Struthio camelus: one gene and its partners. The protein of the gene in region 1 binds, or shares a complex with, the protein of each later gene. Links are inferred from orthologs where the notes say so. Each region holds a gene or a part of one and is shown on either strand. Other genes may lie near its edges.

Evidence for each region.
Region 2: STRIP2 (region 1) and STRN4 share a complex: the UniProt entries of both Homo sapiens proteins name them as parts of the core of STRIPAK complex. The link is inferred for Struthio camelus from reciprocal best matches to the Homo sapiens genes STRIP2 and STRN4.
Region 3: STRIP2 (region 1) and STK24 share a complex: the UniProt entries of both Homo sapiens proteins name them as parts of the core of STRIPAK complex. The link is inferred for Struthio camelus from reciprocal best matches to the Homo sapiens genes STRIP2 and STK24.

Annotation. Positions count from the first base shown.
Region 1 is NC_090942.1:1,695,491-1,703,169, reverse strand, and holds the start of STRIP2 (striatin-interacting protein 2), read right to left. Parts: upstream 3,383-7,679; 5' UTR 3,365-3,382; coding exon 3,260-3,364; intron 1,631-3,259; coding exon 1,561-1,630; intron 317-1,560; coding exon 155-316; intron 73-154; coding exon 1-72. UniProt on the Homo sapiens protein: Plays a role in the regulation of cell morphology and cytoskeletal organization. Required in the control of cell shape. Calmodulin-binding scaffolding protein which is the center of the striatin-interacting phosphatase and kinase (STRIPAK) complexes.
Region 2 is NC_090957.1:1,875,353-1,883,476, forward strand, and holds the start of STRN4 (striatin-4), read right to left. Parts: upstream 3,280-8,124; 5' UTR 2,204-3,279; coding exon 1,668-2,203; intron 1,529-1,667; coding exon 1,455-1,528; intron 1,350-1,454; coding exon 1,271-1,349; intron 1,177-1,270; coding exon 1,003-1,176; intron 1-1,002. UniProt on the Homo sapiens protein: Calmodulin-binding scaffolding protein which is the center of the striatin-interacting phosphatase and kinase (STRIPAK) complexes.
Region 3 is NC_090942.1:164,904,828-164,912,677, forward strand, and holds the start of STK24 (serine/threonine-protein kinase 24), read left to right. Parts: upstream 1-4,684; 5' UTR 4,685-4,976; coding exon 4,977-5,018; intron 5,019-7,850. UniProt on the Homo sapiens protein: Serine/threonine-protein kinase that acts on both serine and threonine residues and promotes apoptosis in response to stress stimuli and caspase activation.

The DNA of each region.
Region 1 (7,679 bases):
GCCCGTCGAGCAGGCGCATCACGTAGGCCTTCTGCTGCGCCACCTCCAGCTCTGGCCATCGCTTGCCCTGCACTGGAAAGGCGAGGCGACAACCAGCCGGGGCCCCACGGTGCGGGTCCCTCCCGGGGCTGCGCTCCCAGGCTTGGGCAGCTACCTTGAGCATGGAAGTCCTCTTCGAAGCACCTGCGGTTGGTGACGAACTCCGGCTCCTCGGTGTAGCTGTACAGCTCTGATGGGGAAAGGAGGTCAGCAGCGACTGGGAGACGTTTCACCCTCCTCCTCACTGCCAAATTGCTCACCGGGCTCTTCAACAGCCCTGCTCGCCCGAGGAGACACGAGCCTTAAGCCAAACACGTATGCTGGAGCTCTTCCCCAGGTCCACCAGACACGGCGGCATCCGGAGGTTGCTACTAAACTCAGCTTAATTCTCATCCTGATTTCACGGAGGGGGAAGGGAGGCAGAGGACCCGCGGGTCTCCCGGCTCACACCATCTGCCCCGGAGAGGACACAGATATCCTGATCTGTATGGCACTGAAATCAATTCAAATCAAAATAGGATCCATAGCTCTTGCTAAGTTATAAGGAAAAGCTCTAGTGCTATCGCTCTGAAACTCGCTGCAGCTTTAGCTGATTTTCTCGTCCCTTTTTCCCTTCCGTTTCTTTTTCTGGCCTTTCACCACTTCCAGGCAGGTCTGGAAGGGGACCTCACCCTGGTCCTGGCTGCCAGCACAGATATTTGCACTGCATTTGCTACGCTTTTGTAGGGTTTTTGTGTGTGGGGGGGGGGGGAGTGATTTTTGGTCACTATTAAGTCAATTTGCAACAGCAGGGACCACAGGAGCAGCCAGCCGAAACCTGCCCTGATTTCAGGCCGACGGGTTTGAGTGTTTCAGGGAGAAGCGGCTTTGGGCCGGATGCTCCCGGGATGCAGTGTAGATGCGCGTGCCGGGTGGAAAGGGAGATGCTTGCCAACCTGCGCTATCCAGCACGGCACGTGGCTGTTCCTCCAGCCAGCTGCATGGCCTTCATTTTTTCCCAGATCATTTTTGACCCCAGAATATTGTAGCCTTTAGTTGGCTGGAGAAGAGGACAACATGCTTTTTTTTTGTTCAGCAGGTTTCTAGGCAAGGCTGCGACTTGGTGTCACAGAAGTGCAAAACTGAGTCGCGGTAGGAAGGTACCTCGAGACCGTCTAGTCCAACCCCTTTGTGAACAGGACCCAGGACCGCGTCCAGTCGGGCTTTAGGTACCTCCAAGGATGGAGGCTCCACAACCCGCCTGGGCAGCCTGCCCCAGCGTTCGACCGCCCGCGCGGTAAACGGCGCCAACGCTGCCTGGGGGCAGATCAAGCCAGGAAAAAAATATAAAATAAAACCGACCTCTGCCCTTCTTGGACACCAGCCCTATCAACGTAGGCCTAAGCCTACTCAAGAGCCATCTCCTGTCCAGCTCGCCCTCTTCCGCACGGGATTTCTTGCCCCGGCAGGCACCCAGGCGTAGCCGAGCAGCGCGGAGACGCGGCCGAGCGCCCCGGCCTCCGCTGCGGCCCCTTTCTGTACCTGATAGCTCCACGGCGAAGCCGTCAGCGTCTCCGTACCCAAACTCCAGGTTGGGGCAGTCCACCGAGCCCTGCGGAGAGCATCCTCGGTTAGCGGCCGAGGCGGGGAGAGGGGCGAAACGCCGTGGCGCTGCCTATCCCGCAGGCTGTTGCGGGGTGTCCGTGGCTCGGAGAGGCACGACACTGCCCCGGGGGGCCACGCGACCGCTCCCGGGCCGTCGGGGGCGATCGGGGCGGTCCGCGGGGAGCCCACACCCTCCACGTCGAGCTCATGCATAGACGATGGTCGTTACCACCACGGGTCTCCAGGGCCCGCTCGGACTGTTCAAAATACAGCGCGAATTGGGAAAGAACACATGAAAAGCAGCCACATCAGCAGCGTGGGAAAGCCGCGGCAGGACCCAAACGGCCGGTGACCGTTTGCTGCTTGCAGCGTCCCCGGGCGGGTTTCCCCGGGACGGTTTGACGCCTCTGCACCCGCCGCCCGTGGCGTCACCCCGTCCCTTCGCTTGTCCGCGCGGCTCCGTTTCAGCCCACAGGCAAGGAAATCCCTTTGGCCGCAAACGCGCCCCGGCCCCGTGGGAACGCGGCGCTCCCAGCGAGTAACTGGAGCGCGAAGCTCTTCCGCTGGATCGGGGCGGAGACGGGCCGAGCGCGCCGCGGGCGGCCGGAGGAAACACGCCAATGAATAACGCGGTAAATTAGGTTAATTTGCCGTTCGGAGCCCCCGAATCCCGTTTCGGCAGCCAGGCTGGACCGGCGCAAATGGTCGTTACTAGCGGTCACGGCAGCTGGGGACGCGCAGCTCCGGCCCGGAGGGGCTCAGCCCTCTCCCCTCCGCCTCCGGATCAAGCCTAAAACCAGGGACGTCCGAAAACTCAACGTTTCCCCCAGTTTGTCCTTAACCCCGATGCTTTGAGGTGGCCGCAGAGGCATTTTACACCCTCTGCGCGCAGCCGCTTCTTGCCCGCGGCACCAAGGCAGCCGGGATTTCGGGAGCCGCCGTGCCCGGCTCCCCAGCGCTCAGCGGCGAAACGCAAACAGTTACTCTAAAGCATGACGGAGGAGGGTGGAAAGCGCGTTTTGTTGGCATTGCCGCTTTGCACCGAGGCTCGAAGCACTCGCGGTGTTCGCCCCTGATGCCGGCTCCTCACGCGGGATGGGGCCGGACGCGAGCCCGCCGTAGGCAGGGGAGACCCCTCCGAAGGCCGGGAACTCGCACCTCCGCGGCGCGGGAAGGCTGGACTCGGCCGCCCGCCCGACGGCACCGCTGTCACAGCAGCGGGGCAGCGGCGGGAGGAGAAACCACCCAGCGGGAACCACGTCGCGACGCCTCCGCTCCCGCGCTGCGGGCGGGCGACAGCCTCCCCGAGGCGGCGCGGACGCTCCCGGCTGCGAAAAGGGATATTTGCGCCTGCCGCCCCGTCGGGGCCGGCGCCCGCTCCTCTGCGAGGAAACGGGTCAGGGAAAGGATCCGGCAGAAAACCCACCTTCCCCGCGCCTCTACCCCAAACCCAGCCAAACCCGCGGACCTGCGGGCGAAAGGGGGCACCGGCCCCGCCGGGCTCCCCCGCGCCCCGACGGCGGCCCGGCCCAAGCGCCGTCCGGGCTTCCTCGTTGTCCCCCCCCCTTACCCCTGCCCGGCCCCCCCCGCCCCAGACGGGCCGCCCGCCCGCAGCAGCGGCCACCCCCGCCCTTACCTCGGACTCCTTCCGCTGGCTCCTGAAGAGCTCCCGGCCCTTGGGCTGGGGCTGGGGGGGCCGCGGGGCCGGGGCCGGGGCCGCGCCGCCGCCCGCCGCCTCCATGCGCTGCGCCCCTCTGCAGCGCCGCCGAGCACGTGGGGGGCCGAGCCTCCCCGCGCCCCGCCCCCGGCCCGCCCCCGCCGCTCCCATTGGTCCGCCGCCTCCCGGGGGCGGGGCCGCTGGACACACCCCCCACGCCGCCATTGGGCCGCGCCTCGGAGGGGGCGGGGACACGGGTGTGTGTGTGGGGGGGTGTCCTTCGGGTGCAGGGCTGCAAGGGGGGGGGTTCGGGGCACCGCGGGTTTGGGGGGGGGAGACGGGGGGGGAGACGGGGGGGGTTCGGGGCACCGCGGGTTTGGGGGGGGAGACGGGGGGGTTCAGGGCACCCTGGGTTGGGGGGGGTTCCGGGGGGGGACAGAGACGGGGGGGGTTAGGGGCATCCCGGGTCTGGGGGGGGGGGAGACGTGGGGGGAGACGGGGGGGAGGTTCGGGGCACCGCGGGTTGGGGGGGGTGTTTCCGGGGGGGGGAGACGGGGGGGGCTTCGGGGCACCGCGGGTCTGGGGGGGTGTTTCCGGGGGGGGGGGCAGAGACGGGGGGGGTTCGGGGCACCGCGGGTTGGGGGGGGCGGAGACGGGGGGGGTTCGGGGCACCGCGGGTCTGGGGGGGTCCCGGGGGGGGCAGAGACGGGGGGGGTTCGGGGCACCGCGGGTCTGGGGGGGTCCCGGGGGGGGGCAGAGACGGGGGGGTTCGGGGCACCCCGGGTCTGGGGGGGTCCCGGGGGGGGCAGAGACGGGGGGGGTTCGGGGCACCGCGGGTCTGGGGGGGTCCCGGGGGGGGCAGAGACGGGGGGGGGTTCGGGGCACCGCGGGTTGGGGGGGGCGGAGACGGGGGGGGTTCGGGGCACCGCGGGTCTGGGGGGTGTTTCCGGGGGGGGCAGAGACGTGGGGGGTTCGGGGCACCGCGGGTCTGGGGGGGTCCCGGGGGGGCAGAGACGGGGGGGGGTTCGGGGCACCGCGGGTCTGGGGGGGTCCCGGGGGGGGGCAGAGACGGGGGGGGTTCGGGGCACCCCGGGTCTGGGGGGGTCCCGGGGGGGGCAGAGACGGGGGGGGTTCGGGGCACCGCGGGTCTGGGGGGGTCCCGGGGGGGGCAGAGACGGGGGGGGTTCGGGGCACCGCGGGTCTGGGGGGGTCCCGGGGGGGGCAGAGACGGGGGGGTTCGGGGCACCGCGGGTCTGGGGGGGTCCCGGGGGGGGCAGAGACGCCTTTGGGCAGCGCGCCCCGGTCGCTGTCCCCGCCAGGGCGCCGCCAGCCCCCTCCGAGGCGCCGGGGGCCTCTCAGCCTTCGCCTTTATCCCCTAAGGCGGCAGCGCCGAGGCAGGATGCGTCCGGCGGCGGGGAAAGGCCGGGGTGGCGCTGGCGACCGTCGCAGCAAAAGCAACAGCTTTTCCCAGCCACGATTCAGCCCGGTTTCACCAAGGGCAGCGCAGGAGCAGGAGCGAAACAGCTGCCCGTAACCCCAGCCAGCGGCCTCCGCTTGCCCCCGGCCCCGGGGGCGGCGGAAGGAGCCACCAGGACGCTGGAAAGCCGCCCGCTTTTGCCCAGGGGCCCCCGCAGGTTTCTGCCCCCCCCCCCGCTTTTTTTTTTAAAAAACCCGGGCAGGTTGCGCCTCCCTTCTGGGCAAAGCCGGCGGCCGCAGCGCCGGCCTCGGCCCCCGCCGCCAAGCACGCGCCGCAGACACTCGCCTTTCCGATGTTTTATTTGCGTTTTGAGATTACAGAGTCTTTATTGCTGATCTAATACAATCACTCATACATTAATAGTTAAAACATCCTTTTGAAAATGTTATGGTTCCAAAGTTTTAATTTCCTTATGGCAGGGTTTTTTTTTTTTTTTTTTTTGGACAGGTTTTGTCCTACGGTTGCTAAAGTTCAGAACAGAATTATTTTCCTTATACAATTTTTGCTGGTGTTACCTAAACCTCCTTTTCCTAATTCTTTAAAAATGTGTTACATTAAAAAAAAAAAAAAAGAAAGAAAGAAAAAGCCATTACACGTTTAATTTAGAGATGATCACAGAATAGGATTCCAGATTGATTAGGAAAAGCCAAGCAAGCGAAAAAGCGGAACGACATGGAGAAAAGCTTTAAAAAAATCGAGATTTGGGACGATTTTTTTTTTCCCCCCTTCTATTTACCCGGAGGATAAAGTGGGCTTAAAAAATCGGCACGAACGAATTCACGGATGAGGACAGCACCACCATATGCTCCACTAGCGACAGACACAGGGGAGGGAAGCGACTGGTCTGAGCTGTAGCGAAGGGTCACACGGATGGATAGCGCTTTTCCTGGGGCAGATCCCGCTGCGTCCCTGAGCCCCTTTGCCAAGGGCTGCCTCGCTCAGCGCGACCCCGCACCTGCGTTCCCTATCTGACTCGAGACATCAAAGACAGGCCGACGTCGCCGCCTTCATCGCACGGAAAGCGGAGGGAAAGCTGCCGGCGGCCCTGCGTCGGGCCGTCGGCTGCCGCCGTCCTGCCGCCCCCGAGGGGAACGGGAAGCGTCGCCCCGCCGGGATCCCACCCGGCCCTGCTGCAGCAGGAACCGGAGCAGGTCTCGGAGCGGGACCAGACCCTGGGCGTCCTTCACGCGCCTGTCCCTAGTGCAGGCGCCCCTTCTTTGCGGGCTGCTGCGGGCAACGGCTGGGCTTCGCTCCTGGACCAGGACCCGGCGTCGCTGGCCAGGCTGGGGAGGTCCCAGGAAGCACAGGGATAACCGGAGCCGGCCTCAGCACAGAGAGAGCAGAAGGACCAAGCGCTTGGTCAACAGGCAGGGTCACAGGCCGGTGGCAACCTCAAGGGATAAAGAGCGGGCTGAGGTATCGGATACGCGTTTCTCTTTCCGAGCCCGTTCCAGGAAAGGGCAGTGCTCCCGCGAGGCGGCACGTTCCCCAGGTCCCGGCTGCTGGCTCTGCTCTGACGAGGCTGGCGCGCAGATGAAAACCTCCGCTGCGAACCTCCTCTCTCCCTTTACCCCTTCCACGTGTGCAGTCAACACGTCCGAGACCTCGAAACTACATGGGTGGAGAAGTTCCCGGGGCTTCACCCAGAACGGGAAAAGCCCACTCGGGCAGCACAGCCTTCGCGTGAAATCCCAGCTCCGGAGAGACCAAGGGGATGTCTGTGAATGACTTCACCGAGAGCAGGATTTCACACCACAAACCTACAAATAACAAAAGAAACTCGGTTTGTTGGCTGTTGCAGACTAGGCTATTCCAGGGTGAGAAAACAGGTCCAAACTTGAAGTTTACAATAGTTCAGTGGACTCTTCCCAAAAATCTCACGATCCGAATAAAATTCACGAGTGAGTGAAGATTATTTAGAGCTTGTGGTTAACGATCACTCTCTGATGCATCCCTTACTTTTCTAGTTAAGCTAGTTGAGAAGTTGCAAACTCTTCAAAGAGAAAATTGGAATAGAAAGCACACTAGAAAACTTGCTCCGAAGACAAGCGGACTCTGGACAAGCTGACTTCAGATCTCGTCATCAAGACTCGGTGGCGGAGGCCGTAACTCCACAGTTTGTCCTTTCTTGTGCGTGAACAAGCTGCCACAAAAAAATTCCCCTTCTCATGATGCCAAAGGAGTCGGAGAGGACAAAACAAGACTCTCGCGTGGCGACAGTACTCGGGTACTGACGCAGCGACCACAGGTGACGTCCACGTGCTCAGGTCTCCAGCACAGGGGCGCTAAGAGCTACCTAAACTACTCCGGCGCTTTTTAAGAAGGACCACGTTCTCCGCGTGAGCCGTAGAAGTGATTCTGACGAGACACTGAGACTTCACAAGTTCCCCCGAGAGGCGTGCTATGCTGTTTGCAGCGTTCGGGCAGGACATCTTGGGCTAAAACAAGTCACTACGACAACTCTGTTCTCTGACAGCTCTGACTTAATCCATCAAGACTTGACATGATTGAGGCGATGCTGAACTCTGCTTGTGATCCTGATCGCTGCACCCAAACCAGGGGTGGTGAGCGTTCGGGGGTACGTCTTGTACAGTCCAAGGGGAATTCCAGATTTGATTAGGTTATAAACAAGTATTACCAGAAAATAAAACTCCAAGAGCTCCCGTGAGAAGCTGGGAAATGTTTCCGTTACCACAGGTGTCTTTCTACGGAACGAGGCATTGATTCAACGAGGACTGAAACTCAGCTCGGCAAAGACCTCGTGTTAACGTTGGCCTTCGAAAGTGGTCAGCGCCGCTGTCTCCTTCGGCGGCGCGCGCGGACAGCGAGCCGGGGCCGCGTTTCGGAGAGCCCCCTCGAAACGCCAGCAGCAGCAGCCGCTGTCAGCCAAGCGGCCAGGCCGCTCTTCGAGCGTGGGCACAA
Region 2 (8,124 bases), on another chromosome or scaffold:
ATTCGGAGCGGGCTGCGCCGAGCCGGAGCCCCCCCTCTCCGAGTCGGAGCGGGCTGAGCTGGAGCCCCCCCTCTCCGACCCAGAGCAGGACACACCGAGCCTGAGCCCCCCCTCTCCAATCCGGAGCGGGCTGAGCTGGAGCCCCCCCTCTCCGAGCCAGAGTGGGATGCGCTGCGCTGAGCCCCCCCCCTCCAAGCCGGAGCAGGCTGAGCTGGAGCCCCCCCTCTCCGAGCCGGAGCGGGCCGAGCTGCACTGAGCCCCCCTCTCTCCGAGCCAGAGCGGGCCGACCTGGAGCCCCGCCCCCCCCCTTCGAGCCAGGTTGAGCTGGAGCCCCCCCCCTCCGAGCCAGAGCGGGCTGAGCCAGACCCCCCCTCTCCGAGCTGGAGCAAGTTGCACTAAGCCCCCCCTTCTCCGAGCCGGAGTGGGCCGAGCTGGAGCCCCCCCTTCTCCGAGCCGGAGCGGGACACACCGAGCCCGAGCCCCCCCTCTCTGAGCCGGAGCGGGCTGAGCCAGACCCCCCCTCTCTGAGCGGGAGCGGGCCGAGCTGGAGCCCCCCCTCTCCGAGCCGGAGCGGGACACACTGAGCCCGAGCCCCCCCTCTCTGAGCCGGAGCGGGCTGAGCCAGACCCCCCCTCTCTGAGCTGGAGCGGGCCGAGCTGGAGCCCCCCCTCTCCGAGCCGGAGCGGGACACACCGAGCCCGAGCCCCCCCTCTCTGAGCCGGAGCGGGCTGAGCCAGACCCCCCCTCTCTGAGCCGGAGCGGGCTGAGCTGGAGCCCCCCCTCTCCGAGCCAGAGCGGGCTGAGCCAGACCCCCCCTCTCCGAGCTGGAGCAAGTTGCACTGAGCCCCCCCTTCTCCGAGCCGGAGCCCCCCTCTCCGAGCCGGAGCCCCCTTCTCCGAGCCGGAGCGGGCTGTGCCAGAGCCCCCCTCTCCGAGCCGGGTTGAGCCGGAGCCCCCCCCCCGAGCCAGAGCGGGCTGTGCCGTGCCGGAGCCCCCCCCTCACCTCTGAATCTGCTCCTCGATGCGCCTGACGAGCGGCGAGTCTCCGCCGCGGAGCGCCGGCTCGGAGCCGTCGGCGGCTCCGCTGACGCCCGCGGAGCAGCGGCCGAGCAGGGAGCGCACGCGCTTGGAGCGCATGTCCAGGACGGTGTCGGTGTAACCCACCTCCTCCAGGTACCTGCGGCGGCGGAGCTGAGAACGGGCAGCTCGGGACAGCCCGGGGCAAGCCCCCCCCCCCTCAAATATCACCCCCCCGATTTCCCGGCACTCACTGCCGCAGGAGCTGCCGTCCTTCCTTCCAGGCCGAGGGGCTGCCGTCCGGCGCCGCCGCTTCCGCCGGGCCGTTGGCGGCTGGGAAAGAAGAGGACGGAGCGAGGGGAGGGCGACGGGGGGGGTCAGCGCGCCGGAGAAGTGGGGGGGGGGGGGGGGGGGACGAGGCTCCGCCGGCTCCCTCACCCGGCTCCGCCGCCTCCGGCCTCTTCTCGCCCGGGTTGAGGTCGGTGCCGAATTTCAGCTTGTGATATTTAGACCTGGGGGGATTTAAGGAAAAAAGGGAGGGGGTTAAAAAGAAAAAATAAAACACACGCGTGCGGCACAACCGGGATTTTCCGCGTCTTCCCCTTCGGGCCGAGGCTGCGCCGGAGCCGCCTCCGCGCCGCCCTCTCCTACCTTTCCTGCTTCAGGGCGTATTCCAGCATTTTTATCCGCCGCACCAGGTCCGTCTTGAGGTTTTCCTGGCCTTTGCGCTCGCCCTGCAGAAAGGCCACCTGCGCCTGGCGGGAGGCGAGGCCGCGCTGAGCGGGGCCGGTGGTGCGGCGCCGGTGGTGCGGCGCTGGTCGTCCCCCCCCCCGACCCCGCGTTCCCGGGAAAAACAAAAAAGACGGGAAAAAGAGGGAGCTGCCGGAGGCGTCGGGCTGCGGGAAGGAGGAGCGGAGAGGAGGCGGCCGCCGCGAAGGTTGCAGCGCTGCCGGCGGTACCCGGAGCGCTGCCGGTGGTACTGGGAGCGATGCCGGTGGCGTGGGCAGCGGTGGTACCAGGAACGGCGCCGACGGTATCAGGACTGCTGGCACCGGAGTGATGCCGATGGTACCGGGAGTGATGGTACCAGGACTGCTGGCACCGGAGTGATGCCGATGGTACCGGGAGTGATGGTACCAGGACTGCTGGCACCGGAGTGATGCCGATGGTACCTTAAGCGCCAGCATCAGAGCGATGCCGATGGCACCAGGAGCGATGGTACCAGGAACGGTGCCGATGGTACCAGGACTGCTGGCACCAGAGCAATGCCGATGGTACCGGGAGCGCCGGCATCAGAGGGATGCTGATGGCACTGGGAGCGATGGTACCAGGAATGGTGGGCACTGGGAGCGATGGTACCAGGAATGGTGCCGATGGTACCAGGACTGCTGACACCGGAGCGATGCCGATGGTACTGCAGGCACCAGCATCAGAGCGATGCTGATGGTACCGAGAGTGACGGCACCAGGAACGGTGCCGATGGTACCAGGACTGCTGGCACCAGTGACGCCGATGGTACCAAGAGCGATGGTACCGGGAATGCCAGCATCAGAATAACGCCGATGGTACCAGCAGCGATGGTACCAGGAATGCTGACACCAACAGCAATGCTGATGGTACCAGGAGTGCTGGCACCAGAGCGATGGCACCGGGAACTGTGCCGATGGTGCCAGGACTGCTGGCACCGGAGCAATGCCGATGGTACCGGGAACGACGGTACCAGAAACGGTACTGGTGGTACCAGGACTGCCGACACCAGAGCAATGCCGATGGTACCGGGAGCGCCAGCATCGGAGCGATGCCAACAGCACTGGCAGTGGTGGTACCACGAATAGTTCCGATGGTACCAGAGCGACGCCAATGGTACTGCGAACGGCGGTATCGGGAACGCCAGCATCGGAGCGATGCCAACGGCACTGGCAGCGGTGGTACCAGGAATAGTGCCAATGGTACCGGAGCGATGCCGATGGTACCGGGAACGGCGGTACCAGGAACACCAGCATCGGAGTGATGCTAACGGCACTGGTAGCGATGGTACCAGGACTGCCGGTACCAGAGCGATGCCGATGGTACCGAGAGTGCTGGCACCGGGAACGGTGCCGACGGTACCGGGAGCACCATCGGGGCGCAGGGGAACAGCCGGTGCTCCGGCATGGGGCAGCTACCTCCAATATTGGGGGGGGGGGCCCTGATAGCAGGGGACCCCGTTACCGGGGTGGGGGTGGGGTCTCCGTTACCATGGTGCCTGTTATCGGAGTGGGGGGGGGCACCCTGTACCCCATTACCGGGGCAGGGGGGTCCCCAATACCGGCACACAAAGGCAGCGGGTCCCCCCCAGACCCTGGGGCCTCCCAGTAACATGCCCCCCCCCCCGCAGCCACACAGCCGGTTCCCAGTGCCCCCTCCCCACCGGTGTCGGTTCCTGGTTCACCCCCAACCCACCCAGTACCGGCTCCCGGTGCCCCCTGGTCCGCTCCCCCCCCCCGGTGCTGGTTCCCCCCCCCCTTCCAGTTCCCCCCCCCAACTGGTTCCCTCCTGGTGCCGATTCCCAGTTCCCTCCCCCCCCTCCGGTTCCTGGTCCCAGTTCTCCCCCTGCCCCGGTGCCCAGTTCCGCCCCGGTCCCGGTTCCCCACCCCCAGTTCCGTCCTGGTACTGGTTCCCTCCCGGTTGCCCCCCGGTGCCCGGTTCCCGGTTCCTCCTCCGTTCCGGTTCCCGGTCCCGGTTCTTCCACGGGGCCCGGTTCCCCCTCGGTCCCGGTTCTCCACCCCCAGTACCGGTTCCCTCCCAGTACCGGTTCCCCCTGGGTGCCCGGTCCCGGTTCCCCACCCCCAGTTCTCCCCCGGTACCGGTTCCCCCCCGGTGCCCGGTCCCGGTTCCCCACCCCCAATTCCCCCCCGGTCCCGGTTCCCCCCCCGGTGCCCGGTCCCGGTTCCCCACCCCCAGTTCCCCCCCAGTCCCGGTTCTCCCCCGGTCCCGGTTCCCGTTCCCCCCGGTGCCTGGTTCCCCCCCGGTGCCCGGTCCCGGTTCCCCACCCCCAGTTCCCCCCGGTTCCGGTTCCCCCCGGTGCCCGGTTCCCCCCGGTCCCGGTTCCCCACCCCCAGTTCCCCCCCGGTCCCGGTTCCCCACCCCCAGTTCCCCCCCGGTGCCGGTTCCTCCTGGGTGCCCGGTCCCGGTTCCCCAGCCCCAGTTCCCCCCCGGTTCCGGTTCCCCCCGGTGCCCGGTTCCCCCCGGTGCCCGGTTCCCCACCCCCAGTTCCCCCCCGGTACCGGTTCCCCACCCCCAATTCCCCCCCGGTTCCGGTTCCCCCCGGTGCCCGGTTCCCCCCGGTCCCGGTTCCCCACCCCCAGTTCCCCCCCGGTGCCGGTTCCCGGTCCCGGTTCCCCCCGGTGCCCGGTCCCCCCCCCATCCCGGTGCCGGCTGCCGGTCCCGCCCCCGGCATGGCTCCGGGCGGCCATTTCCTCCCAAGATGGCGGCGGCGGCAGCAGCAGCGGCGGCTCCGGTACCCCCGCCCCCCCCCCAGCTCCCCCGGTACCGGCGCCGCTACCTGCAGCTCGGCCCGCTCGGCCTCCCAGCGGCTCTTCTCGGCCTCGAAGCGGGCCCACTCGTGCTGGATGAAGTGCAGGATGCCGGGCAGGCTCAGCTCGGCGGCGGCGGCGGCGGGGGGGGGCGGCGGCGGCTCGGGGGGGGGCGGCTGGGCCCGCGCCGCCGCCCGCTCGGCCTCCATCATGGCTCCCGCCCGCTGCCACAAAGGGAGCCGCTGCCCGGGGCCGCCCGCCGCCGCTTCCTGCCACAAAGGGAGCCGCCGCCGGAAGTGACGTCGAGAGGCGCGCGCGGGGAGGGGAGGGGAGGGGGGAGGCGGCGGCGGCTGGCGCGGGGGGGGGGTGGTTGAGGGCCGGTTGCCGGGGCAACGGCGCCCCGTGGTACGGGCGGTGCGGGGGCTATGGGGGGCTATGGGGGGGTATGGGGGGGTATGGGGGGTATAGGGGGTACGGGGGGTATAGGGGGTACGGGGGGTATGGGGGGGTATAGGGGGTACGGGGGGTATGGGGGGTATAGGGGGTACGGGGGGGCGCGGCGGGGTATGGCGGTCACCGGGGTACGGGGCGGTGCGGGGGCTATGGGGGGCTATAGGGGCCACGGGGGGGTATGGGGGTATAGGGGGTACGGGGGGTATAGGGGGATATAGGGGGTACGGGGGGGCGCGGCGGGGTATGGCGGTCACCGGGGTACGGGGCAGTGCGGGGGCTATGGGGGGCTATAGGGGCCACGGGGGGGTATGGGGGCTATAGGGGGTATAGGGGATATGGGGGATATAGGGGGTACGGGGGGTATAGGGGGGTATAGGGGGTACGGGGGGGCGCGGCGGGGTATGGCAATCACCGGGGTACGGGGCAGTGCGGGGGCTATGGGGGGCTATAGGGGCCACGGGGGGGTATGGGGGCTATAGGAGCCACGGGGGGGTGTGGGGGTATAGGGGGTACGGGGGGTATGGGGGATATAGGGAGTACGGGGGGGCGCGGCGGGGTATGGCGGTCACCGGGGTACGGGGCGGTGTGGGGGCTATGGGGGGGCTGTGGGAGCCACTGGGGGGTATGGGGGATATAGGGGGTACGGGGGGGTATGGGGGGATATAGGGGGTACGGGGGGGTATAGGGGGATATAGGGGGTACGGGGGGGGCACAGCAGGGTATGGCGGTCACCGGGGTACGGGGCGGTGCGGGGGCTATGGGGGGCTATAGGGGCCACGGGGGGTATAGGGGGACATAGGGGGTACAGGGGACTATAGGGGGATATAGGGGGTACAGGGGGGCACAGGGGATGTGGCGGGGTATGGCAGTCACTGGGGTATGGGGTGGTGCGGGGGCTATGGGGGGGTTATAGGGGCACAGGGGGGGTATAGGGGGCTATAGGGGGTACGGGGGGCTATAGGGGGTACGGGGGCCGTGGGGGAAGCGGCAGGGTATGGCGGTCACTGGGGTACGGGGTGGTGCGGAAGCTATGGGGGGACTACAGGGGCCACAGGGGGGTATAGGGGGGCCACAGGGGGGTATAGGGGGGGTACAGGGGGTACGGGGGGGCGCAGGGGACGCAGTGAGGTATGGTGGTCACCAGGGTACAGGGTGGTGGGGGGGCTGTGGGGGCCACAGGGAGGGTATAGGGGGCTATAGGGGGGTATGGGGGGCTATAGGGGGGTATAGCGGGTACGGGGGGCCATAGGGGCTATAGGGGGGTACGGGGGGCGCGGGGGACACAGCGGGGTATGGCGGTCACTGGGGTACGGGGCAGTGCAGGGGCTATGGGGGGGCTATAGGGGCTATAGGGGGTACGGGGGGGCACGGGGGACGCGGCAGGGTATGGCAGTCACCGGGGTACGGGACGGTGCAGGGGCTATGGGGGGGCTATAGGGGGTATGGAGGGTTCGGGGACGCGGCAGGGTATGGTGGTCACCGGGGTATGGGGTGGTGTGGGGGCTATGGGGGGGCTCTAGGGGTATGGGGAGCTATAGGGGGCTATGGGGGCTATAGGTGGTATGAGGGGCTATAGGGAGCTATGAGGGGTACGGGTGGTAGGGGGGTGCTATAGGAGGTATGGGGAGGTATAGGGGGCTATGGGGGAAGAGAGACACGGGGGGGATTTGGTGATCACCAGGGCACGGGGCGGTGTGGGGGCTATAGGGAGGTACGGGGTGGCGGGGCTGTACGGGGGTCTATAGGGGTGTGCAGGGTCACGGAGGAGCGGGGGGGTAAAAGGGTGTGCGCACGTGTAGACAGGTGTGTACAGCGGCACGCGGAGGAATACAGGCGCGCCTGGGCCGATGGATGTGTCCAGCGGTACGTGGAGCGATGCAGGTGCGGGTGTATTGGTGAGTACACCTGCACGTGGAGGTATACAGGTGCGTACGCGGCTGTATAGGGCTGTACACCGGCACACGGAGGTAGACAGGTGTGCATGCAACCATATAGCTGTCTATACTGGTACAGGGAGGTCTACAGGCATGCACACAGGCGTATAGGGGTATACACCAGCCAGTACGTGGAGATATACAGGTGGGCGCACGGTCGTAGGGCTGTGTACACTGGCACGTGGAGGGGTACAGGCATGCACACAGGTGTATAGGGGTGTACACTGGCACATGGAGGTATAGAGCTGTGCGCACAGGTGTATAGGGGTGTACACCAGCACATGGAGGTATACAAGCGTGCACACAGGGGTGTAGGGGTGTACGCTGGTACATGAGAGATACAGGCATGCGCATGGGTGTATAGGGGTGTACAGTGGTACGGGGAGACGTACAGGCGTGCGCAGGGTCATATAGCTGTATGCACTGGTAATGTGGAGGTATACAAGCGTTCGTATGGGTATATAGCTATGTACACTGGTACATGGAGGTGTACAAGCGTTTGCATGGGTGTATAGGTGTGTACAGTGGTACACGGAGGTATACAGGCACGCGCACAGTCGTATGGGGTGCACACTCATAGAGAGACATACAGGTACGTGCATGTGTTTGGCTGTGTACACACGTACACTTAAAGGGCTCGAGCATTGCTATCGCTTGGTACGGTGTTGCTAGGGATGGGGTTGCTGTGGCAACAACACCCTTCCCCTCCCGTCGCCGTGGCCATTCGTGTCCCAACGCCGCGAAGCCTCAGCTGGGAGCGCTGCTGCCTCTGAGGCACCTGCGGGCCCCTAACAAGGAGGGGGTCGCTAACGAGGGGGGGTCGCTAACGAGGGGGGGGGTCCGGGCCCTGCCCCTCCCCTCCCTGACGCTCCTTTTCCCTCCTCACAGCGCTGCTACGGTGGGGGAGGCCGCTGAGACCGCCCCGCTCGCCGCACGTGTGACAACACCATCACAGGTGCAGGCTGCTGAGACCGCCCAACTCGCTACACGTGTGGCACAGGCATCGTGGCCGGAGGCTGCTGAGACCCCGGAACTCGTGGCACGTGTGACACTGCCCTTGCAGTTGACAGCTGCAGAGGCCGCGCAACTCGCTGCACGTGTGACTCTGCTGTCAGGCGGCCTCCGCCTGTGACTCACCGCGCGGGTGACGCCGCCACTATGGCTGGAGCCCGCTGAGACCGCCCGACTTGCCGCGCGCGCCGCCCC
Region 3 (7,850 bases), about 160 Mb from region 1:
GTTGAAGTCTCCCAGGAGAACCAGGGCCTGTGATCGTGAGGCTACTTCCAGCTGTCTGTAGAAGGCCTCATCGATGACTTCCTCCTGGTCAGGTGGCCTGCAGTAAACCCCCACAACAGTGTCACCCATGTTAGCCTGCCCTTTAATCCTTTATCCATAGGCTCTCAACTTGCTCTTCATCCACCCCGAGGCAGAGCTCCATACATTCTAGCTGCTCCCTCACATAAAGGGCAACTCCACCACCTCGCCTTCCTGGCCTGTCTTTCCTAAAAAGCACATAGCCATCCATGACAGCATCCCAGTCATGTGAACTATCCCACCATGTCTCTGTCACTGCAATGAGATCATGGCCCTGCGACCGCACACAGATCTCTAACTCTTCCTGTTTATTCTCCATGCTGCGTGCATTGGTGTACAGGCATTTCAGAGAGCCAGTCAAGCATGCAAGCTTCCCAGGAGAGGTGCAAGAGGATCCTCCATAGCCATGTCCTATGCTGTCTCCCCTGGCTGTATGCACCCGCTGGAGGCATCCTGACTTGAGCAGTGTATTACAGACTCTCCTGCCACTATACCACTCCCCTTCCCCCATCTTGCCTAGATCCGTGTATGGACTTACACTTTTATCACTTGACTGTTTAGATTCTTTAGGGATCATTTGTGAAGAACCTTGTTAAAGCTGTTTTGCATTATCTGCAAATGCAATACATTTAAAATAAAAGCATTCAAAATGAAGCTCTAAAGACAAAATAGTGAAAATTTTATTATGTGTACAAAGTACACTAATCTATTAAAAAATTATATATTTTTATACAGGTTGCTAAAAAGGTTTACTAAGTACAGAAACTGATCAGTAGAAGAAAGAAAACAGGAAAGCCTGAAGAGCACGGATAAAGACAATAAAGAAATGAAAAAAAAAATCCAGCAACAAGTTTAGCGATGAATAATCTGGTAGTATCATTTGATTAATTGTTCCACAACCTTCAAATCAAGGATGCTTGATGATTATGGTGACAGGATGCAACTGCTGCCATACAAGATGGACCAACTCCATCCTGTCTGCTGGGGAGGCTCCATAATACCATAGCCATGACTCTACTGCAAGCAATGGGATCGCATATTCAGCCCTCTCATTCTTTTCTGTTCACTATGTAAATTTGCGCCTTGTGCTATTTATCTGCATAAAGATTCCTTAATCACCATTACATTTTTCACGCATTATGTTTTTAGACAAATGCCCCATCTGTTACAATCCATAATGTTTTCAAAATATGAATACTGATTTATTTATGCTATATTATATATTACAAAGTTCAAAAGAGAGAAGCTTTTGGTACATCTTTCTTGTTGGAAAACATCAATAGTCTGACATTACTCATTTGAGAAGAAATTTTAGTCTTGGTCAGTAAGGAAAAAGGTAATTTATGAAAGGAAATTCATAGTCATTGCTGTTACAATGAATAATACTCTTCTTTCCTAACTTTTTTTCTTGTACAACCAGCAAAGCACAACATCTCTGAATATGTGAAGTACTGTTTTAAGTTGAAAGTGAATCAGGTGTTGTGAGCCAGCACATAAAATAACTTAAGTTGACTGAATTTTTGCATGTTGGAAACATCTGGCTTCAAAAAGATACAATAACAGGGAGCCAGCTTACTAATAAGAATTGTTTATTTTCAAAGTCCTTATCATTGTACTAGAATAGCAGGCTGTCCTAATGTGCAAACATTCTATTTTAAATGAAGATTTCTGCAAGAATAGCCTTTCTTTGGAATATAATATACAAGGGCTGAGAAACAGAGAAAAAATTGCAAGGCTTCTGTTATTTAGTCTATGAGGAAGAAACTGAAGGTTAGGCTAAAAAATTAGCATTTACAAAAACAACAACAACATACAGAAAAAAAAATCATTATTTTAAGATTACATTTAAAACTAGTTTGGTTAAAATTTCTCTACGTTCAGAAGAGAAGTTGGAATTGTACCAGAACATAAGATACAGTATAGAATACAGAAGTTGACAGAAATTAGGAATTCTAATACACTGTTCTTAGTTCATTAGAACTTAATTTAGACTGATATCTGCTTTGCATTTTGGATCTGCTCCTTTGTTCCCATGTTTCCTTTGTTTCCCTAACAAGTAAATCTGCTCATAGAGCTTATTCCACTGGCTCAGTCATTTGTTAGGCATAGTGTCTTGTTGAGTATGTAATGCAGAGCCATAAACTTCGGAACCTCGAAACTTTGAGGTGAAAAAAATCCATCATCTTTACTCAGTGAAGGAATATAAGCAAAAGATGGTTAAAATAGTTCAAATGATTTCACATTGGCCCTGGGCTAGGACCTTACATGGGGAAAGTTGCTTCAGATCAGCTAGAAGATGGTAACTTTTTCTGTGTATACTAATGGATAAAACATAATCGCTTTATACCTTTTCTTAATACAAAAGATGAAGCTTAGTTCTATACCCTTTGTATTTTTCACTCTGCACTGAATGTGCAAGTGCAGAAAAAGTAAGGCAGCTGGTAAAATGTGGATTGTAATGACAACATAGAATGGAGCAGAGTTAAAGCTGCATAGGTAACAGCAAACCTGACACTGTCTCCTTGGGGATTTTTAGTATTTTGTGATGTAGCTAAAGCTAAATGGTATTAATAGGACAAAGAAAAAGGCTCATCTACAGCCCACTGCCTTTCTCACTAGCAATTTAAAAACATACTACAAACAGTGGAGTAAACCATGGAGACATCAAAGATTTTTTTTTTAAATAAAGATTGCAAAAATATTTTAAGATGGAAAACAATCTAAATAGAAGGTTTGATGCCAATTCTTTTTATAAGTCTGTTATTTAATCTGATTTTTGATTGAAGTAGAACTCATCTAAATGAAAGCTTTTACATTTCTTAGGAAATTATATATTAATAAAGAGGTGAGGCATTTTCATGTTTTTGAAAGTTTACAGAATTTAAAATGTATTCCAGCATTAAGTAAACTAGCAACTCATTCATAAATAACTAATAAAAGAATTCCAGTAGTTCAAGTTTCTATACAACTTCTATCCATCATCCGTTCCATGTTTCACTGTACTCAGGCACTGATAAGTCTAGTCTAATTTCTAAGGAAAACAAGATTTATGGGATTGTGTGTGTGTGTGTGTGTGTGTGTGTGTGTGTGTGTGTGCGCGCGCGCACGCCTGTATGTGCCTGTATGAGGCTGCTGGCTAATTTCATTCACATTTCACTGAAGGGTAAAAATCTTGAAGACAGTTAAGTTTCTACAAGTTTCAGGAAGACAAGTGTGCAGCATTGGCTCAGTCCATATTAGACATACACAAAAAAAATACCGTAACTACGGAAAAAAACTTCAGTGGGAGAGCCTGTGTCTAACCAAATGTCCAAGAGACCATGTTATACTTTAAAGCTTTCCAGCAGTTACGAGATTTGTACAAACTCTCTCTAGTGGGCTACCTACTGAAAGGCAATTTACGCTACAGTGGAAGCTCACCCCTTTTCTGTAGCTCCCAAACCCACTAGAAGCTAGGCTTCATTAATTTCACCGTTCATGAAACTACCTATTCATTTGGGGTGGGGGGGAGAAAGGGAGAGAATCTCATGGCATAATTAGCATATTGCTAAATTTATGATGTAACTCTTGAATCTCAGTTTAAACTGGCCAAACACGGGAAATACAATATTAACATGTTCTTAAGGGTGTTAAATGGGTTTCCAGGGTTTCTCACGAGGAGGGGAGACGTGGACTGCTGGCCCTCTCTTCTTCCCATTTAAGAAGTACTGTAACAACATCATGACTATTATTTTGGCTTAGCTCTTTTGCAACTTCTGACAGGAAGTCAAGTGCTTCCTGAAACCATAAACCTCAGTAGGGCTATAGCATTACTGTGACCTTTCTTAAAGCGTCCAAGTGAAGGGGAGGCAGGAAAAGGACATACCAGAAAATGTCTAGCGTTTCTGCCATCTTGATCTATCATCTCACTCCGGTTTCTTTATTTTAAGCGTGCAGCCTCTCCGCCTGACGCTCATCTCGTTTCACCTGCTCTGTTTCACTGACAGCCAGGAAGTTGCTCTTGATTTCGACTGTGGGAAAGGAGAAGCAGGTCTTCGGGTTGTGTGTGTGTGTGTGTGTGTGTGTGTGTGGAAAAAGAAAAGAAAAGAAGAAAAAAAAAAAAAGAAAGAAAACCCAAACCCCCAAAGGCCGTAGCACAGGGGCCGGGCAGCCGGTGCTTTTAGCCTCGAAGACGACGCCAGCCCAGCGAGCTGCCTGGGGCTGCCGGCTCGTACTCCCGCCGCAGGGCCGGGAGCGCCGGAGGTGCTGACGGCGCTCAGGCCCGGGGCGGCGGGTCTCGTCACACCGCGCTACGTGCGCCAAACCTCCGGGCGTTTTGTCCCTTCGCCAACCCCCTCCCCGCGGCGGGGGCGCGGGCGGGCGGCCGTTCTCGTTCCGTTATTTCCCCGCTCCCCTTCCCGCCGCCGGCCGTTGGCCTCCGAGCTCGCGCGCGCGCCCGCCCGCCCGCGGGCTGGTGGGGGCGGGGCAGCGCGTGCAGGTAGCCGGGTAGGAGAGGCGGGGCGGGCGGGCGAGCATTCCCCGCCCCTCCCCCAGGTTTGTCGTCGTGTGGCGGCGGGGCTCCGCGCGCCGTCGCACCAGTAACGGCCGCTCTGCGCGCGCGGCAGGGGGCGGTTGGGGGGGGGGGAGGAGGCGGAGGCCGCCGTCGCCGCCGTTGCATCCGTGACGGGGCCAGAAGAGCCCAGGCTTGGGACAGCCCCTTTCCCACCGCCTAGCCCGCCCGCGCACAGGCGCCGCTCGCACGGGGGAAGGGAGAGAAGAAGAAGGAGGAGGAGGAGGAGGAAGAAGAGCAGCAGCAGTTTGTATGTGTGTGTGTATGATGAGCTCAGCCCCGTCCCCTGGAGGCGCCTGAGGGGACCTGACTCCCCCCACCCCCCGCCCCACTCTCTGTCGCCGCCGCCATGGCTCACTCCCCCGTGCAGACGGGCCTGCCGGGGATGCAGGTGAGCACCAACCGCCGTCCCCTCTGCTGCCGCGGACGTTGGATGGGGGATGGGCGGGTCCCCTCCTTCCCCCCCCCGCCCACCCCAAGGGCAGGCACGGACACGCACCCACGGCGAGCGGTGGGGGAGGGGAGCCAGGGCTTGGTCCTTGTATCCCTTCCCTGTATTGTCTGCCCGGAACCGGCGGGGCTCGGTGGGGTGGGAAAGGAGGGGAGGAATAGTGTGAAAGGGGTGCGGGGTCTGGGGTGAAGGGCGGGCGGGTGTGGTGCCTGGCGGTAAGGGGATGCCCTCAGGCTAGAGGGACAGGGCGAGGGGGAAAAAAATGCCTCTTCACTCTGACTCGGTCTTGAAGAAGGTGGCGAGGGGGGGTTGGCGGGGAGGAGCCGGATCTCGTAACCCCTGGAAACAAAATGTGCTGTCAGCACTTCACATAATGCATAGCAAGGTCTCTCTGCTTAGTGAATCCCTCCCTTTCTCATTGCTTAATAGCCGCTGTTTTGATGGAAGTGTGCTTGGTAACCCCCCCACCGTCCAGTAGTTCTGCCGGGCTGTTTTGATTCATGAAATGAAACTTGTCTTTAGAGACGATTTTCAGTCCCGTTATTTTGACGTGGCTAGGAAAAATATGCTCTCCATACGTAAAAACAGGGCCTGAAAACGTTGACCTTCAACGTGTGCTGCAGTGCCCATCTCGGTAGAACTGGCTAGTGGGGGTGCTGTTTGAGGTGGATGTTTGGAGATTATATTTGGCTTCTGTGTTTGGCTGTAGGAGTTGGTTAGCTGTAGCTGTTATACAGTGGGATTTGCTGTTTTTGTGTTGTAACTGTATTTTTTAAATAACTGATGTGGTTTTCTGGTGACTAAACTGGCTTTTTCCTTGTTTTCTTTTTTTTTTTAGTCCAAATTCAATAACAAAGTACTGCCAGAAGAACCTTAAGGTCTTTGGTGTTTGTGTGTTATTGTAATATTTTCTGTGTATTATTAGACACTTCCCTGTGCACCCCTCCCGCAGCCCCCAAAAGAAATACTTGTGACTGGGACATAGAGTTTTTCTGAAATTATCTTCAAGGTTAAAAGTTTTTGTGCTTCATTTGGTTTCAGTATTGATTTACTTTGGATCATTTTCCCATGAATCAGATTCTAGTTCATGAATCTTACATCCTTGCATAGCCTGAGGATTTGAATTTAAAATGTTATATTTGTGCGTAAATCAAAATAACTACTCTACTTCCCACAAACTGAGGGGAAAATGGACAACTAATAGTTAAGAGTCAGCTTGAAATTGTGTATGTTGCCACCTGCATAATGTATTTTTCCTATTCACATTCTTTGTACTCTGGCTTTGCTTTCCTTCTACCCTGGAGAGTTCTCAGCTTCTTTGTACCCTGCAAAGCTATTCATCTGCAAATATCTTTAAAATCACCCCTTATGTATTGCTTGAAAGATATGGACATTTTTTTAAAGGAGAAATTAAATGGAAAATAAACTATTTAAATGTCCTAAAGTTTGAATCATAGAAGTCATGAGAAAAAAATGTGTTTCTTAAGAAACTTCAGTAGCATGTTGAATGAATGGTTATGTCAATGCTCAGGCATATAGTACTAGATGCCAAATGAGTACATAGGCCCTCACTCTAAGTGTGTATATTTGTCACTCTGTTGAGTGTTCAAGTTCACCTTCCAAATGCAAGCAGTGTGCTCATCTCCAAAGACAGAGAGGTAACAGTTTGTTGCTAACGGTAGGGCTAGATTAATGTTGCATTTTTTTTAATACTTTGAAATATTTTAGAACCAATAACGCTATTTACTTTTTTTTTTTCAAAAAGAGTCATAGTATTTTTGAATTTAAAAAGTTGGATCTGGAGATGCTGGGAAATAAAGAGAGCAAAGTTTATTCCTGCAGTTTGCATGCAGTGCTTATATATGTGATTGCATGATCTCTCAAAAGACCTAGGTTTTCTTGGCTTATTATTTGATTTATTGTTTAATTTGTAGTACTGTTAGCTGTACTAACCGGATAGATATTCCTTTTTTTTGTTGTTAGTCCATATAATTTGGGAGTTTACTTCAGATTTTTTTATTCAATACAGTATTATTTTTCACACAAATTTTTATTGTATTCTTATGAGTGAGTTTCTTGAGTGTTTTTGAACATTAACAACTATGTAAAAAAAAAAAATAAACCCAAAACCTACAGATAAGTAGGTGCATAAAGTTCAAGGTCGGTAGTGTGAAAATTACTTGCTAATTTTCTTGCCCAGTAAAAGATGTCTAGATTTGTTCCCACTTTGCCAGAGTGTATAGCAATTTTATAGTGTTTGGTTTTCAGTACATGATTCTCTTTGACTTTATCTGCAGATGAGTGCTCAAACTGTGTACCGTTAAGTACATATAATTTGTCACAGCTACTTAAATAAAGCAAAGTTTATGGTTTGTGACTTTTCATTATGTAACAGAGAAAGGAACAGAACTCAGTTCTCTGGAGCGTGCTTAAGTTGCCTAAATGACGGGACTGTATTTTCTTCCTGTACTGTGATCCCTTCTCCCCACCAGCAGATTTTGCAACAAATCTTGGAAGTAATGTCAGTGAGAAGTTATACAGCTTTTTCTGGTGTTTATTACTGTCCTTACATAAGAGGGCAATCAAGTGTAAACAAGAGTCAGTTCTTGACACCCCAAAATCCCATGTTGGGACAGTGCCTTGTTATGCTGTTTGATCTGGGCAGAGTAGTGCATAAATAGAACAGAGGAATTAAGGGTTAATCTATTTCTCTCTGAATAACATATCGGTGCTTAAAGGGCAATGCATAAAAAGTGAGTAGGTATAGAGTAA